Alligator mississippiensis: one gene and its partner. The protein of the gene in region 1 binds, or shares a complex with, the protein of each later gene. Links are inferred from orthologs where the notes say so. Each region holds a gene or a part of one and is shown on either strand. Other genes may lie near its edges. The genes, in order: SUPT16H and SSRP1.

Evidence for each region.
Region 2: SUPT16H (region 1) and SSRP1 share a complex: the UniProt entries of both Homo sapiens proteins name them as parts of the FACT complex. The link is inferred for Alligator mississippiensis from reciprocal best matches to the Homo sapiens genes SUPT16H and SSRP1.

What each region holds. Positions count from the first base shown.
Region 1 is NC_081830.1:3,858,157-3,865,557, forward strand, and holds the start of SUPT16H (FACT complex subunit SPT16), read right to left. Parts: upstream 3,310-7,401; 5' UTR 3,227-3,309; coding exon 3,161-3,226; intron 3,079-3,160; coding exon 2,986-3,078; intron 2,856-2,985; coding exon 2,694-2,855; intron 2,111-2,693; coding exon 1,958-2,110; intron 1,855-1,957; coding exon 1,708-1,854; intron 1,608-1,707; coding exon 1,456-1,607; intron 1,152-1,455; coding exon 979-1,151; intron 856-978; coding exon 765-855; intron 526-764; coding exon 452-525; intron 1-451. Other genes in the region: CHD8 (chromodomain-helicase-DNA-binding protein 8), read right to left, coding at 4,350-4,832, 5,091-5,213, 5,516-5,695, 5,871-6,086, 6,338-6,574, 6,772-6,917, 7,226-7,252. UniProt on the Homo sapiens protein: Component of the FACT complex, a general chromatin factor that acts to reorganize nucleosomes. The FACT complex is involved in multiple processes that require DNA as a template such as mRNA elongation, DNA replication and DNA repair.
Region 2 is NC_081825.1:172,857,036-172,864,386, reverse strand, and holds the start of SSRP1 (FACT complex subunit SSRP1), read right to left. Parts: upstream 3,079-7,351; 5' UTR 3,005-3,078; intron 2,824-3,004; 5' UTR 2,684-2,823; coding exon 2,630-2,683; intron 1,538-2,629; coding exon 1,352-1,537; intron 544-1,351; coding exon 438-543; intron 142-437; coding exon 1-141. Other genes in the region: P2RX3 (P2X purinoceptor 3), read left to right, coding at 4,792-4,931. UniProt on the Homo sapiens protein: Component of the FACT complex, a general chromatin factor that acts to reorganize nucleosomes. The FACT complex is involved in multiple processes that require DNA as a template such as mRNA elongation, DNA replication and DNA repair.

The DNA of each region.
Region 1 (7,401 bases):
CAGAAAGTAAGACAGGACCCCACCAAGTCAGACAGCACCAGCCCTGGAGCTGCGTGGGCCTAGGACTCACCCTACTTTTGCGTGAAGGCTGGGGGTGGGAGGCGCTGTCCCTGATCCCAACAGGAGAAAAAAAGGGATGCGCAGGGACAGGGGCAGATGGACAGAGCCACCAGTCGCCCAAGGTAGGGGCTGGTCTGTCAAGGGGGCCTCTGCTCCTTCCTTATATACTGAGCTAGTGGCAAGACAAAGTTCAAGGAACCCCATGGCAGAGAGCATGCAAGTGGGGCCAGGGCCTCACAGGGTTTGGGTGAGGCAGGCTGGAAACCAGTAGTAGCAGCACATCCCCATGCAGTAGCAGAAAGAAGAGATTTGGACACAAAGGGGCCGACTTGGGTGCCTGCAACCTGCAGGCTTGAGTGGCACCCCTCCCGCAAAGCTGGGCACTACTTACCCTTCTTAAGCCGATGCTGGTTCTTGCTGTTGATGACAAGGGAGCCCTCGCGGAACTCGATGCCCATGGCAAACCTGGGCAGAGAGAGAGCGGAGCAGCCATGTCACCCATAGCCACCACTCACCCCAGTCCCAAAGCCCCAACACCAGGGCAACCCCCCCCTCTGTGCTCCAGGCTAGAAGGCGTGGCTGCCAGCGCCGTGGCAGGAGCCAGCTCCCTGCCCCAGCAGCCTTGAAGCCTGAGTGGGTGCCTCTAAACCCAGAGGTGGGCAGATACTGGGGGGGGGGGCGGGGGGCCTGAAGCAATCTCTTACCCCAGGTTCTTAGTGATCTTGCTCAGCAGCTCCGGTTTCTGCTTCTTTACCACGTCCATGATAGCCGCGTAGACGTCACATAGTTTCACACCTAGGGTGGCAAATCTGAGTGAGCACCACATGGGTGGTGGGCAGAGCCCTGATGCTCCTACCTCTACACCCCTAGCCCCCAGCCCAGCCAGCCCCATGCTGGGTACCCTCCCCCCAAGCTCACCATGCTGCATCTCCTTAAGCATCTCATCCTGCAATTGCAACAGGAAGGTGTAGTTGTCCTGCATGTCCTGAGGGGGGTCCACCATGAGGGTGCGAACCAGGTTGGAGCAATACGACTTATAGCGGATGCCCATGGCACAGGTAATGGCCCCAAAGTGCATATGGTTCTTATCGCTGTCAGGAAAACAAGGGTAAACAGAATGAATGCGTCAGGGTGGGGAGCAACTGTCAGAAGGTGTCTTTGGCAAGCACCATACAGAAAAGCAGCTGGGCTGGAACTCGGTAAGAGGCAGCAAGAGTAGCACAGACCCAGACAAACCCCACTACCTGGGTTGTAAGTGGGGAGGCCTCTCCCCTACCTCAACCAAAGATGACTGGGGGGCTCTGGGTAGAAGAACACTGGACTCTTTTTGTAGGAAAGAACTGCACCTGTGTGCATGATCGTGCAAATTTTGGGGGGGGAGCACAAGACACCAACCTGACCACACTAAACTTCAGGTTGTAGTTGCCACCACTCTGGATGATGGGAGGGTAGCACATCTCCACCGTGGAGGGATCAGCTCCTGATAAGTACTTTTTCTCTTCGATGGCTTTCTCCACCGACTCGGCCAACTTGCTGTGCCGTACTTTCTGCAGGATGGGGTAAGGTGTACAGAATCAGGGTGGCTACTGGGGCAAGTTGAAGCCTGGGCAACTGTGCAACCTGGCCCCCTCCCCGTCCCCCACCGACCTCGTCAGCATCCACAATCTCCATGACACGCTCCTTGAAGAACTTGTTGAACACCTCAGAGGTGATAGCAGCTGCCTTGCGCATTAGGTTGAGCTCCCCATCCTCCTTCACTGCAATGGTGTAGGCCACGACCGCACTGATGTCCACCTGCACCAGGGCGGGGAAGGCAGGGACGGTCACCAGGCCGTTACCAGTATCCAACCCCCTACCCCAATCTCCCACGTGGCTCAGCTACCCCAGCCCCGCAGACCTTCTCAAAGCCTTCCTTGCTGAGGCAGTCGCTCCAGCTCTTCATGAACTCGCCGGGGAACTTGTCTTTGCTGAAAATGCCGATACGCTTCCCCCCCTTGCTGCCCTTCAGCGCCTCCACCATCTTCTCAAAGTTTCCCTTGTTGCTCTCGTTCTGCCAGGGGGGGGGAAGGGCACATCAGCACCTGGGTACTGGGCCACATGCCCTGTTTTGTACCACGATCAACCCCTATCCTTATCCCTCTAGCACGTAAGAGACGTATCACTCATCAGCGATGCCAGAAGACAGAACAAAAGTACCAAAAAAAATTGCTGATATCTGGAAAAATAGTCTCTCGACAACAGAGCTACCTAAAAAGATCGCGGACTTGGTACCACAGGCTACATAAAGCATCATCTAGGATGACGTAATAGGGGCTCTTTTGAGCAAGGGAGTGAATTAGACGCGAGCTCCCAAGACCCCTTCCAGCCGTCGCTGTCCAGGATCACAACTTCCCCAGGCCGTCCCTATGCTGCAGAGACAGCACCGGGGCCCTTCCCTCCGCCCCCAGCCCCGGCCCAGCACCGCCCCCCTGTCACCTGGGCTAGAGGCACGGGGACCGGCTCCCCGGCGCCCGCGGGGCTCCTCGAGCACCAGCAAACCGAGGGAGCGACCGGTTGGGAACCGCACACACGCGGGGGGGGGGGAGGGGGACGCGCACAGCCTGCCCGGAGACACCCCCGGCCTCGACACCCACCTTCTCGCGCACGAGCAGCGTGAGCGCGGGGATGCTGTCGCCGCCCTTGCTGTTGGCCAGCTGCTTGAGGAACTCCACCTTCTTCTTGCTGGCCATGAACAGGATCTTGTCCTCGCAGAACACCATGATGGTGTCGGTCAGCTCGTAGCCGAACAGCCATGTCTGGGGGGGGGGGGCGGGTGGGGGAGGGGATGGGGGACACACACGGCGGGGTCAGGGCCCAGCTCGCCCGCCCACCCGCCCCGGCGGCCCCCCCTTCCCCTTCCTCTCCCCTCCCCCCGCCCGGGCTGACCTGCAGGGCCGTGGACTTGGCGTAGACAATCTCCTCGTCCACCCCCACGGACACCACGATGCCGTCTACGTCGCCGTACTCCTCCTCGCCCTTCTGCAACACGGGGGGGAGGGTCAGTGCTGCCGCTGCCCCTTGCCGCTGCCCCCCCCGCCCGCTCCCGCCGCCCGGCCCGCACCTGCCACTGCGCGTAGAGGCGGCGCACGCGGCGGTAGTAGGCCTCGCGGTCCAGGCTCAGCGCCATGGAGGCGGCTCCGCGCTCCAGGCTCCGCCGCGGCCCCTAGCCCGGAAGCGATTCCGTCCTGCCCCCCTACCCTGCGGGGGGAAAACGCGCGGCCCGGGACGCGCTTCCGCTTCCGGGGCCATGACCCCACCCCCCCGGCGTGCGCGCGCGCGTGAAGGAGCGGGTGCGTTCAGGCAGCCCCGCCCCTCCCTCTGCGCGCGCCAAGGTTTTCGCGGGGTTTTCGCACTCGTCGCCTCAGGGCGCACGCGCCGGACCGGGCCCCTACCCCACGTGACGCGGCGAGCGCGCCGAGCTGCCTACGCATGCGCGTTTAGCCCCTCCTCACCACGTGACGCGTCCCCTTCCAGCCTCCCCCTCCTCCGCGCAGTTCGTGGCACTAGCTGCTTCTACGCATGCGCCACGCATAAAAAAAAAAGAAAACCCATAGGAGGGGGGGGGGAAAGAGGGTGACCCCATTGGGGATGCATGACCTTTGCTCCACTGCAGTGGCTCCATGCCCCCAGGAGCAGGGCAAGGGGGTTGGGGCAAGTGCCCCCCCAGGACAGAGTGGCTCACGGCAGGGGATGGGGCAATACTGCCAGCTGCATTTTAACTCATTTTATTAGAAAAGAAAAGAATCCAACTACGGGAAGCTCTAATGCGGCCCAGCCCCCCCGCCCCGGCCCCCCGCCCCCGCCGTATCACACAAGACATATTACATATTTATATAAATAGAGCCCGGGAGGGGGGGAAAGGACAGCACCGGGCCCCGCGCCGCTGGGGGTGGGCTGAGGGCCCCGGGGGGAGCGGGCGCGGGGCGAGCCCCTTGGCCCACGCACAGAGGAACAGAGACAGAGGGCGAGAAGGCGGCGGCGGCGGGCGGGCGGGGGCAGCAGCAGGGGGCGGTGGAGATGGGGAGAGGGGGGTGCCGGCGGCCGCTGCTCATGCTGGGGGCAGGCGGGGCAGGCACGGCCAGGGCTGGAGGGGCACGTGCAGCTCGGGCCCTCCTTTGCCTGCACCCGGGGCCGCCCGCGGGGGCTGCAGCACCGTGCACGTGGAGCCGGCCGCAGCGCCCATCAGGGCCTGGGCAGCCCAGGAGTCCCGCTATCCTGTCTGTCCGTCCATCCGGCCCTTGGTCCTCCGCTCAGTCACCCTCCTCGTTGGCCCCGTCGCTGGAGTCCGAGTTGGCCGGCATCATGGGGTCGTCCAGCAGGGAGAAGTCCCGCTCGGAGCTGGCGTAGCCCTGAGACAAGTCGTCCATCTCGTCTTCGTCCTCGTCGTCGTCCTCATCTGGCTGCAGGTGGCCCGGGTGCCCCAGGTGCAGCGGGGGGCCGGGAGCATAGCTACCGTGGCCCAGCCCAGGGTGCAGTAGGGTGGCGGAGGAGGAGGCTGCGGGTGCGGGGAAGGGCGCGTAGGGCAGCGCGGTGCCTGGGGCAGGGCCAGGCTGGAAGTGGCTGTGCAGGGCCAGGGGCCCCATAGCCCCCAGTTGGCCCTGTGCTGCACCCCCCATCAGCGAAACCATCTTGGAGAGGTCCACGCCTGCCCGGCGGCCCCGTGCTTTCTGACCCCCCGCTGCAGCCATGGGGCCTGGCAGGAGGCGGTGCAACATGGAGTCGGGCATGTAGCCCTGCAAGAAAGGAGGGAGGGAGGATGATGGTTAGTGCTAGGACCTTCCTGCCCCAGCCTCCCCTGAGTTCCTAGGGGACCCCCATCCCTGTCCCGAGCTGCAACAACCACGATGCCAGCAAGGCCTGGCCATACCTGTGAAAAGGAGGGAGCCCTTCCCTACTCCACAACTGCCCCTTTCAAGTCACCCCACTGCAGCTGAAACAGAGGTAGGGAGGGCAGGAGGGGGCTTAGGGGTAGGGTGCAGTTGGCCTCTCACCTTCTTGGTGCCTGGGGTGTCGGGCATGAGCCCCCGCTCCAGCCCGGGAAGGCAGCTAGCTTCGGCCATGCCTGGCTTCCGGCACCGGTGCCACTTGTACTGCTTGCGGCGGTCCTCCATGTACTAGGGGCAGAGAGCAGGATGGCGGGTCAGTGGCCTTGCTGTTCTGCTGCCCACAGAGCCCACAGTGCCAGGTGCTGCCCATGTAGAGCAAAACTGCCTCCTCCTGCCCCCATCCACACCCAGGAGAACACAGGTCCTTCCAAGTCTGAGATCTAAGCAGCTTGGACAGCCCGAGAGGCAGCACTCACCCGCCCCAGGCACACAGATGGGGCCGCATGCACAAGCAAAGTGGGGGCACAGTGAGGGTCTGGAGGAGTGGGGGACAGGGTGCCCCACACAGGCCAAATAAGCGCGACACTCACAGCCAGGAAGCGGGGGTCAATGGCGAAGTCAGGGTGCGCCTGCAGCCAGGCCTCGAGGTCAGCACGGCGTGGCGCTGCCTCCCCAACCAGCACCGTCCCGTCTGTCTTGCGAACCACTGGGATCCGCGCCTCCAGGTCGATGTCAGGGCCCCGCAGACTCTCCAGGCACTGTAGCTCCAGCTGGGGCCGAGGGCAAGGGGAAAGAGTCTCCATCAGGAGACAGGGACAGACACCGAATGACCAACTCTTGCCGCCCCTCGGGGCGCTGCAGACCAGTGGCAACAGGGACAGCCCCTGGCAGAGACGTCCCTGCCCCCAGAGCACTCTCCCAGCAGCAACAACCCTTTGCACTCACCTCCACCAACTTCTTGCTGCTCTTCTTGTGGCCTTGTAGATGCTGCGGTGGCCCCTGCCCATGCCCATGTCCATGTCCGTGGCCATGGCCCTGACTGTGGGTGTGTGCATGGGCATGGGCATGGGCATGAGGCTGGGGTGGGGGCTGATGCCGCTCACGCATGGCGCCATTGGGGACAAGCCTGTGCTTCTGGAAGGTCAGCTTGATCCCCTCCTCCTGCGGGCCAGGGGTGGGAGTCAGAGCAGGTTCAATAGGGAACAGAAGCCAAAGCTTGACCCCTACCCCCGCCAACTTCCTCCCATGCCACAGGGCGCCTCAGCTCTTCGCGAAAAGAGTTGAACTCACCCCCCCACGCCAGAGCCAAGCTGCGGGCCCAGCTGGGGGTCGGTATTAGCATGGCGAGTCATCATGGGCACCTCCCTACCCCCTGCCCCACACACGTGTGCACCCCCTGCTCCCCTACTAACATCCTTGATCTGCACTGTGAACTCCTTCTCCTCGGGGCTGTGCCGCAGCCGTGTGTAGGACATGGGTGCCTCGTCAGGGGGGCCGACACGGGGGGCAGGAGGGCCGTAGTCCCCAGGCAGCCGGGCCATGCCCTCTCCTGGTCCCCTGCAGACCTCTGGTCCACGTGGCCCAGAGGGCCACTTCCCGGTCAGCACAGCCTGGCAGATCAAGTCGATGCGGCTAAGGAGAGCCCGGTCCTGGGGGGGGAAGATGGGGATGGTTAATGTAGACATGGCAAATATGCCCCCACCAACAAACCAGATTTATGTGGCCCCAGTTAGAGTAAGTGGGGGTCACCAGTGGACCCACGGCAACTTCCCTGCCGCTGCAGGCAGACATCCAAGGGGATGCAACCTGAGAAAGGGTTCAGCCATGCCAGGACCCCTGACCTTACCTTGGGCCAGTCGTGGGCGCGGTTCCGCTCCTGCAGCAGCAGCTCTGGGGCACTGGGCTGGGGTGAGTCACCCTCGCGGGAGGTGGGCAAGGACAGCAGCGACTCCTCCTCCTCGTACAGCTTCCCTCCACAGGATGGCTCTGTGCCTGGCATGGGGACAGGGACAGGGACAGGGCAGGGGTGAGCAGAGGCAGCAGCCCCACCCTTAGCCCCAGGCAGCTCCCAGGACAGAGAAGGGCAACCTAGGGGGAACACAGAGGAGGGCAAAGCAGCAGCTCCCTCCCCCAATAAGCTATTGCTATTAAAGCTGGGGTTAGGGTGGGGGCACCCCCAGTCTAGCCCCTGCTCAGCGATGTGTTGCTCTTGTCAGAGCTACTCCAAAAGGCAGCAGGACATGGGGGCATGTCTAAAAGGACCCTTGCAGCTCCGACACCCCAGCCCAGCCCGTTCTTACCCCTCACGCATCTGTGATTCAGTTGGTCTGTAACAGGGGTGGCCGGGCACAAGAGGCACGGGCAGCCCACGTGCACGCATGGAGCAGGTGGGGGAAGGGGCAGGAACAAGAGCAGCAGATGGGGAAGGAAGCGGAAAGCAGAGCAGCAAATCAGGCCGGGAAAGGGGGCAGAGGGA
Region 2 (7,351 bases), on another chromosome or scaffold:
CCTCCATGAGGGACACCTCAGCATCGTCATTTTGATGGAACTCCAACGTCACTTCATTCTTGCCCGTTGTACACTGTGACACATTGCTGAGAGGGATCTCAAACACTGGCTGCTCCCCAATGTCAAAGGAGAGAAGCTGGCCTGCACAGAGCAGTGGAAACCAAATAGATTGGCAGGAGTCACCAGACTGCCCCACACGGTGGGGGATCCCAGCCAGTGCCCTTTCATGAGCAGGTTCACCTTTCGTTGATCTTTTCTACTCAACCATGGCCAAAAGCAAAATGCCTCTGCACAAAAGGGCAGAACAGCAGGTTCCTCTCTCTCAGCTTCACTCTTGCCAGCACGCATCATTTGCAGTAGGGCCAAAATAGTTTCACTGCAGCGCCAAAGATGTGCCCCAATTCCACTCCCTCCCATCCAACTTCTCCCCAACTCACCTCCAAACCGCACAGTTCCCCAGTTCCACCCTTTCACACACAGGTCCTTCTCTGCCAGTTCCAGGCGATAGTGCGATTTAAAGAAATCTGAGAGTTTGTCAAACTCCTAAGCGGGAGAGAAAACATAGATGAAAAGTGATTATGAACCTCTGGCTTAAGCCATACCTCTTACCCCAACCCATACCAAAGCACTGGACTTCCTTCCTCTCCGACAGAACAGACTAACGTTAGTACCACAGCAATGCCCCTGGGGTGATGACAAAGCAGCTGAAGGAGACTCTAGCAGGAATACTCATCCAGGAGGTGGCCTGGTTGTAATTTGTAGTGCTTACCAAGAAGCACAGAGCAGACCAGAGGTGGACAAAACGCGGTCCGCAGGCCATTCTATCCGGCCCGCAGAGCCCATAAAAAAAATTCAGAAAATTAATATTTATCTGCCCCTGGCTGCCTGTCATGTGGCCCTCGATAGCTTGCCAAAACTCAGTAAGTGACTCTCCGCCTGAAATAATTGCCCACCCCTGGGGTAGACCCTGCTATTATATTGAAAGGACAGCAGGGAGGAGGTGTTACCAGTACTGAGTCTTTGCTGGACAGTTCATAGGGAGAGACTCAGGTTCAGAAAGCACTGGCAGCTCACACAGAAAAGCTGAGAGCCAAAGGTCACAACAAACTGTATGGTCCAGGAAAAAGATACACAGACGGTAGGAGGAAGGGGTGCATGATTAGAACCCAACAAGATGTAACACTCATGAGGGCATGAGCTGCACGCCTAGCATCCAGCAAGAGGCTAAGAGACCATATGGAGGGGGGAGCATGTGGTCCCCCCTCCACTCTTGAGAAGACAGGAGGTCTCCCCCACAAGGACACCAGCTGCCACCTCTAACCCTGGTCACTATCAAAAGAAAAGGACTCACCGATTCCCTGAAACCATCATACTTGTAGACGTGGCCATTTTTGGTAATCAGTTTGAGACCATGGCCCAGCGCCACACGGCGCCAGACACCCTCCGACAGCTCCGAAGCTTGGATGTTGTCCACTTTGCCTGTCTTGCTGTTCTTGAAGATCACACCTTGGCGACTCAGGCGCAACCGCCCATCATTCTGGCAGGAAGAGACACAGAGGTTGGTGGGCAGGAGCCAGAACCTCCCCCACACAGGCCGTCGCCCATGAGCAAGATATGAACAAAGTGGATAGAGCCAGGGAGCGCTCCCTGAATCACCAGTAGAAGCCAACCATCCTCTTACGTTTGAGCCAAGGAGGCCTCACTACCGCTCCTTTTGAAAATAAGACTGTATGCATCTTGCAGGCCAGATGTAACATACCAGCAACCCCACTCCCTGGGCAAAAGGCACCCCAAAATCAGCCATTCCTCATCCTCCAACAATGACTCCCACAGAAGCTCCATGGTTTAGGACACAACCAACCAAACTGGCACTGTGTGCCCTGCATTCACACCCTGTTTTGGCTTTAAAAACAACCGACCATTTGAGACAAGAACCCTCCTCAGCCGTATTTCACAGGCACGTGAATCAGTTGGGAACATTTACGGGAACTGCAGCCACACATTCAGATGTCCCAGGACTCAGATAAGTTAGCTTATGAACCTTAAATCCCTGCACACGTATGTGGTCAACCAACAAACAGACACACCTCAATCTTAAGTTTCTTGTGCAAGCCAGATCCCATGCTACAATCACCCAAGTCGTGGACCCCTCCCACAACCTCTACAACCCGATTCAAAAGTTTAGGGCAGGAAGTTACGAGTCTTCCCTTCCCCAGATAAAATGCCAGCTGGGAACGCAGGCAGGATTCTGGGGCTACGGCCCCAGTCCCCTGGACAGCCTCAAAGCCCCTTTATTACCCCACAGATGCTAAACCGAACAGGGTCCGATCATGTTGTGCCTCCTCTGATAGTAAGCCAGCCCCAGTCCCAAACGCTGGTGTCAGCATAGACTCCAGGACGCTACCTCCCTCCAGGCAAACAGGGAGAAGGTCCCAAATTTAAGGGCCTGACACAGGGCAAGCCTCCTGAGCCTGAAGCACACCGTAAAAAGGAGACAGGCGAGAAGCTGGGCCACGTGCCCCAGGCCCCTGCAGCAGGTGCCATGCGGTCCCCCCCTCCACTGCACCCTGCAGCTGTCCAGCTCAGCCTGGGGGCAGCCCCGGGGTCCCCCGCCCCCTGCCCCTCTCACCATGGACCCTTTCACTTCCTGGTAGATCTCGTTGAACTCCAGCGTGTCGGCCATGGCAGCTCCTGCCCCCTGCGGCCCGCGCCCAGCTGGCAGGGCAGCGCCTGGGGCGGCGGGACCCGGCGGGGAGGATGCCCAGGGCCGTCAGCACCCCGCTGCAGCCGGCGAGCACCGGGCGTCGGCCGAGCCGGAGGCACCTGGCGGCGAAACGGGAGGGATGAGCCCAGGGCGGCCCCGCGGGGGGGAGGAGGCAGAGCGGGCCGCGCACATCCCACCCCCCACCCGGGGTGCGCGGCACGGGGGGAGGGCACGTGGCCGGGGGGGGGCAATCCCCCTCCGCCCGATCCCCGGCCCTTGCCCCGCGCCTCCCCCGCTCACCGGGGGTCACTTTCCCGCCTGCGCAACACGAACCCCGCGCGAAGCTTCCGCCACCGGAAGATGCCCCCACTTCCGGCCCGGGCGGCCATGGCGACGCCGCAAGCCGCTCTAGGCCGCCAACTCTACCATAGAGCTGTGGGAGGCCTCCGGCAAGAGAGGGCGCGCCGGGGGAGGGCGGGCGCTCGGGAGCATAGAGTGTCCGGAGGCCTGAGGCTAGAGAGGCCGCTTGGCGGCCAAATCCCCTGCGTAGGGCTGGGAGGAGGTGGCGGCTGTGGGGGTGCTGCTGCGGGGTCCGCGGCGCCTGTCGCCATAGAGTCCTGGGAGAGCTCTGGGCAGAGCCCCCCCCACTCCCCCGGGATAATTAAGGCGACCCCCGCCTGGTCAGTGTCCCGGGCTGACGCGTCCTCAACCTCAGGATGGTTCTTGCGTCACAGGGTGGCCACGTGGCGTGGTGACGTCATGACGTCCACCTGTGGCATCACCACTGCCAAGCCCCCCTGCCCACCCCTCTGGCTGTGGGGCCAGCCCCTGGAGAGAAGCAGAGGGGATGCGTGCTCCCCCTCCCCTTGCAGGGTGAAAGCGCCCCGGGGTGTGTCCAGGGGAGCCTTCATGGCCCCTATGAAGTGTGACCAGCACCAACACCTCCAGAGCATGAGCTGCTGTGACCAGGAGGGCCCGGCGCCAACACTATTCTCTACTATCCCACAGCAACACTCGTGTCACCGTCACACTGCATTGCCACCACAGGCTGCCCTTCCGTGTGTGGGTGATTACACCAGGCACCAGCCCTGCTGAAGCAAGGGGCAGTGGAGTGGAGCTCCGTGATACGTTGTGTGCGCTTGCTGGAACCGTCGTTCCCATCACACACTGTGTCCCAGCAGAGCCAACACTCCCGGACGTTCTGCTCAAGGCTCTAACACTCCAACCCACGTGGCTGGCTGGTTGGGAGTTCATTGTGGTGCAAGCACAAAGCCTAGTGGGTAGCATGGCCAATCTGTCCCTGTAGCTGTGACAGAGGACTGGAGGAGGGGGTTGTCAACCTCCAATAATCAGATGAGTCCTTTCCATGCAGTCTCAGCAGAGGGGCTGCAATCAAGGCCTGCATGAGCTCTGGAGGGATAAACACCTCCCTCACCCTTCAAGAAGAAGAGCTAGGCATGTTAAGAGGCATAACACAGGCAAGGCGGGCATCTGGCTTGGTCGCGTGCCTGTTCTGCGGGTAAATGGACCATGTTAGTCTTCAGGGACCATTTTTACCTGCTGCTCACCAGCTGCTGATTTGTCCCCAGAGAGATCTGTATTTGCTTAGCTTCCTCCCCCTTCCTGTTGGCACAGAGTTGGGATGGCAGGGGCAGTTAACTGAGGGTGAGGGACATTAGCACTGCTGGGCAGGGAGAAGCTGCTGAGCTGAGATGCGCTAAGTGGATTCCTCTCTGGAATCATCAGGTGCATTAAGGACCTACTCGCTTGCACACACCAGGGAAGCTGCTTGGCAATGAACAGGCTATGAAGCCCCACCTTTTCCTGCCTCTCCCCACCAGCATCACTGTCCTCTGAGAATGGGGGTGGAGACTGTATAAAGGGGTCTCTCAGCTCCAGCCTGCCCAGAGTAGCAGCAAGGCAGAGGAAGGCTACCATCTGGATCCCAGGTTTAAAGGAGCAGCCCTCCCAAGTAGCTCTGGGAGCATCACCCATCGCTCCACTGATCTCCCATCCCTGCCTTGGTCTCAGCATCCCATCTCGACGGGGCTAGCAGGCATTAGCCAGTTCTTCCCACGCTGTGCCAAATGCCCACGGTCTCTTCCGGGATGAATTGTGTAGCCAACTTCTTCACCTATGAGACCACCAAGTCAGTGGTGGTGAAGAGCTGGACCATCGGTGTGATCAACCGCGCCGTGCAGCTGCTCATTGTCTCATACTTCATTGGGTAAGTGCAAGGAGCTCAGCGCTGGCCTGGCCAGCACCCTGACAACCTGTGACTGGTTCCAGCCTGGAACAGGGTGAACCCCAGAAGATGAGAAGAGTTTCCCTCCAGCAGAGACCTGTCCAGTTGTGATCCCTGCTCCTGAAGGAGAAAGGGCAGGGGGCAGGGACAGGCTAACCCACCCTAACACAGAATCCTTTCTGAGGACACCTCCACAAGCACACATGTGTAAATGGTGGGTGGAAGGGGTACTTGCTGGGCAGGGTGGAATATGATTGACTCACCCCCCACCTGCAGTGAGTTCCCATCCTTCCCAACCCCCACCCTTCCCCAGCCTGGGAACAGCCAGACAGCTCTACACAGGGGAAGAGGGTGGCCTTAGCAACTCCAGAGTCCCCTCTACCCAGAGCTGTCCTGGGACTCTATGTTGACAAGCATATATGAGCTCCCAAGGAGTGAGAGGCATTTAGGTGAACTGAGATGGTGTGGAGCTAAGCATCCAGAGCAGGAGGGTGAGATTCAGGATTGGAGGGGAGAGAGAAGATAAAGGGATGATGACAAGCAGGAGCACAAGGCTGTGCAGACGAGCGGGGCTGGAAAGTGAACTCTAGGCAGACACAACCAGAAAGGAGGCTGAGGCAGGTGCCTAGGGTGAAGAATTTACATCACACACAGCCCAGGGTTCCCTGGGACCTTCTTGGCATTGACATCAGAGAGGGGGTTGCAAGGGCAGGACTGTGGGATTAAGTGTCCAGGCTCCCACTGCTCCAACTCAGAGTGCCAAGCACTGTCTCGTCTGGCCATGGAGACTCAACTATCCCCTGGCTCCACCAGTGTTCTGAATCGACATGCATGATATGTTTGTGCATAAATGCATGCGTGTGTAGTCAAGTATGTGTGTATGCATGTAGGGGGGTTGTATGGAGAAACCATGGGTTCAGGCTCATTTACCCTGTCCTAATTCCCGCAAACACCCCCCATCAACCCTTAAGGGGGAATGTGCAAACCCAGCCACTGTGTTCACCGCCATGGTGGCAGAGTCTGTCATGGGGACCAGCAAGAATGCCTCAGAGTGAATGGGTGGTGGAAGTCTCTGCATGGATGTGTCCAGAGGCAATGGCTGTGGGTGGGAAGGAGTGGTGAGAAGATCACACATGTATGGGATGGGGTGAGACACAGTGACTGTGAAAAGGGTGCCAGTGTGTGTTCCTGCGCAAATATGAAAGGCATAAGCGGAGGGAGAAAAAACTATTTGGGGGTGCTGAGCATGCATGTACCCCCCCCCCAGTAAGTAAGTCTATGGGGGAAGGGGTGGGGAGAGGGTAAAGGGCTGTGGGGAGCAGATCGAGGCCCCCATGGTGAGGGAGTGGGGCACGGGCAGGGTATGGGGCTGGGGTGAATGGGGCCCCAGCCAGGCCAGGTTGTGGGACAGTCAGCCCAGGCAGCTCATCCAAGGGTGAGGGGGGCTCCCACCACTATGCACACCCTGGCAGAGGTGGTTGCTGCTATGGACTGGGCTTTGCTCCCTGCTGCCACTGCCTCCAAGCCACACAAATCCACGTGTGTCCTGCCACTGGGCGGGCAGGAGGTAGGGCGCAGCCCAGCAGCAGCAGGCATGTGGCATTGCGCTGCTCCCAGGGCAGGTGCAGCAGGGTATAATGCACAGTGTGCAGTGGCAGCCACCTCCACCCCACACACAGACTGGGGAGGAGCCGCCCAGGCTTTGATTCTCCCACCACCTGGCCCAGCCAGGGCCCCATTCACCCTATCCCTGCCCCTGCCTGTGCCCCACTCCCTCCCTCAGCACTGGGGCCTCGATCTGCCCCCCAACACAGCCCTTTCCCCTTCACCAAATTGACTGGTACTTGCCTGCCATGCTGGGCAGCCAGTGATCCACAGGCCGAGCTGCGATTCTGGCTGCATGTGTGCCTCTTCCCACCCCTGCTACAGCCACCTGAAGCCCACGGCTGGGCTGCCTTGTAGCCCTACCCACTAACCTGCGTTTGAGGGGGCTGAGCCCTGTTAGTGCCAGTCTTCTGCTGCCTATGGTGAAAGGGGTAACCACATGGAGGAGGCGGAAGTGTTTGCATGAGTTTAGGGGGTGACCACATGGAGGAGGTGAACGTGTTTACATGAGTGTAGGAGTGACAACAGTATGGGTGTAAGTGTGTGTAGGTGCCTTTGCAAACCTCAGATGGGTGGATGGATGCATGTGAATCTTGGGGTGACTGTGACCCTGGGAGTAAAGGACTGAAAGAGTGGTGGGTGTGACAATACATGTGTGTTGGGGGGATGGTTACTGTGCAAGAGATGGAAAATGGGGTAGGGGAGTGAGGTGAGGAAAAGAAGACTTTGTGCATCCTAATGTGATGGGTGACAGTGTGATTGGTGGATTGACACTTGTATGTGTGAAAAAGAAGAGG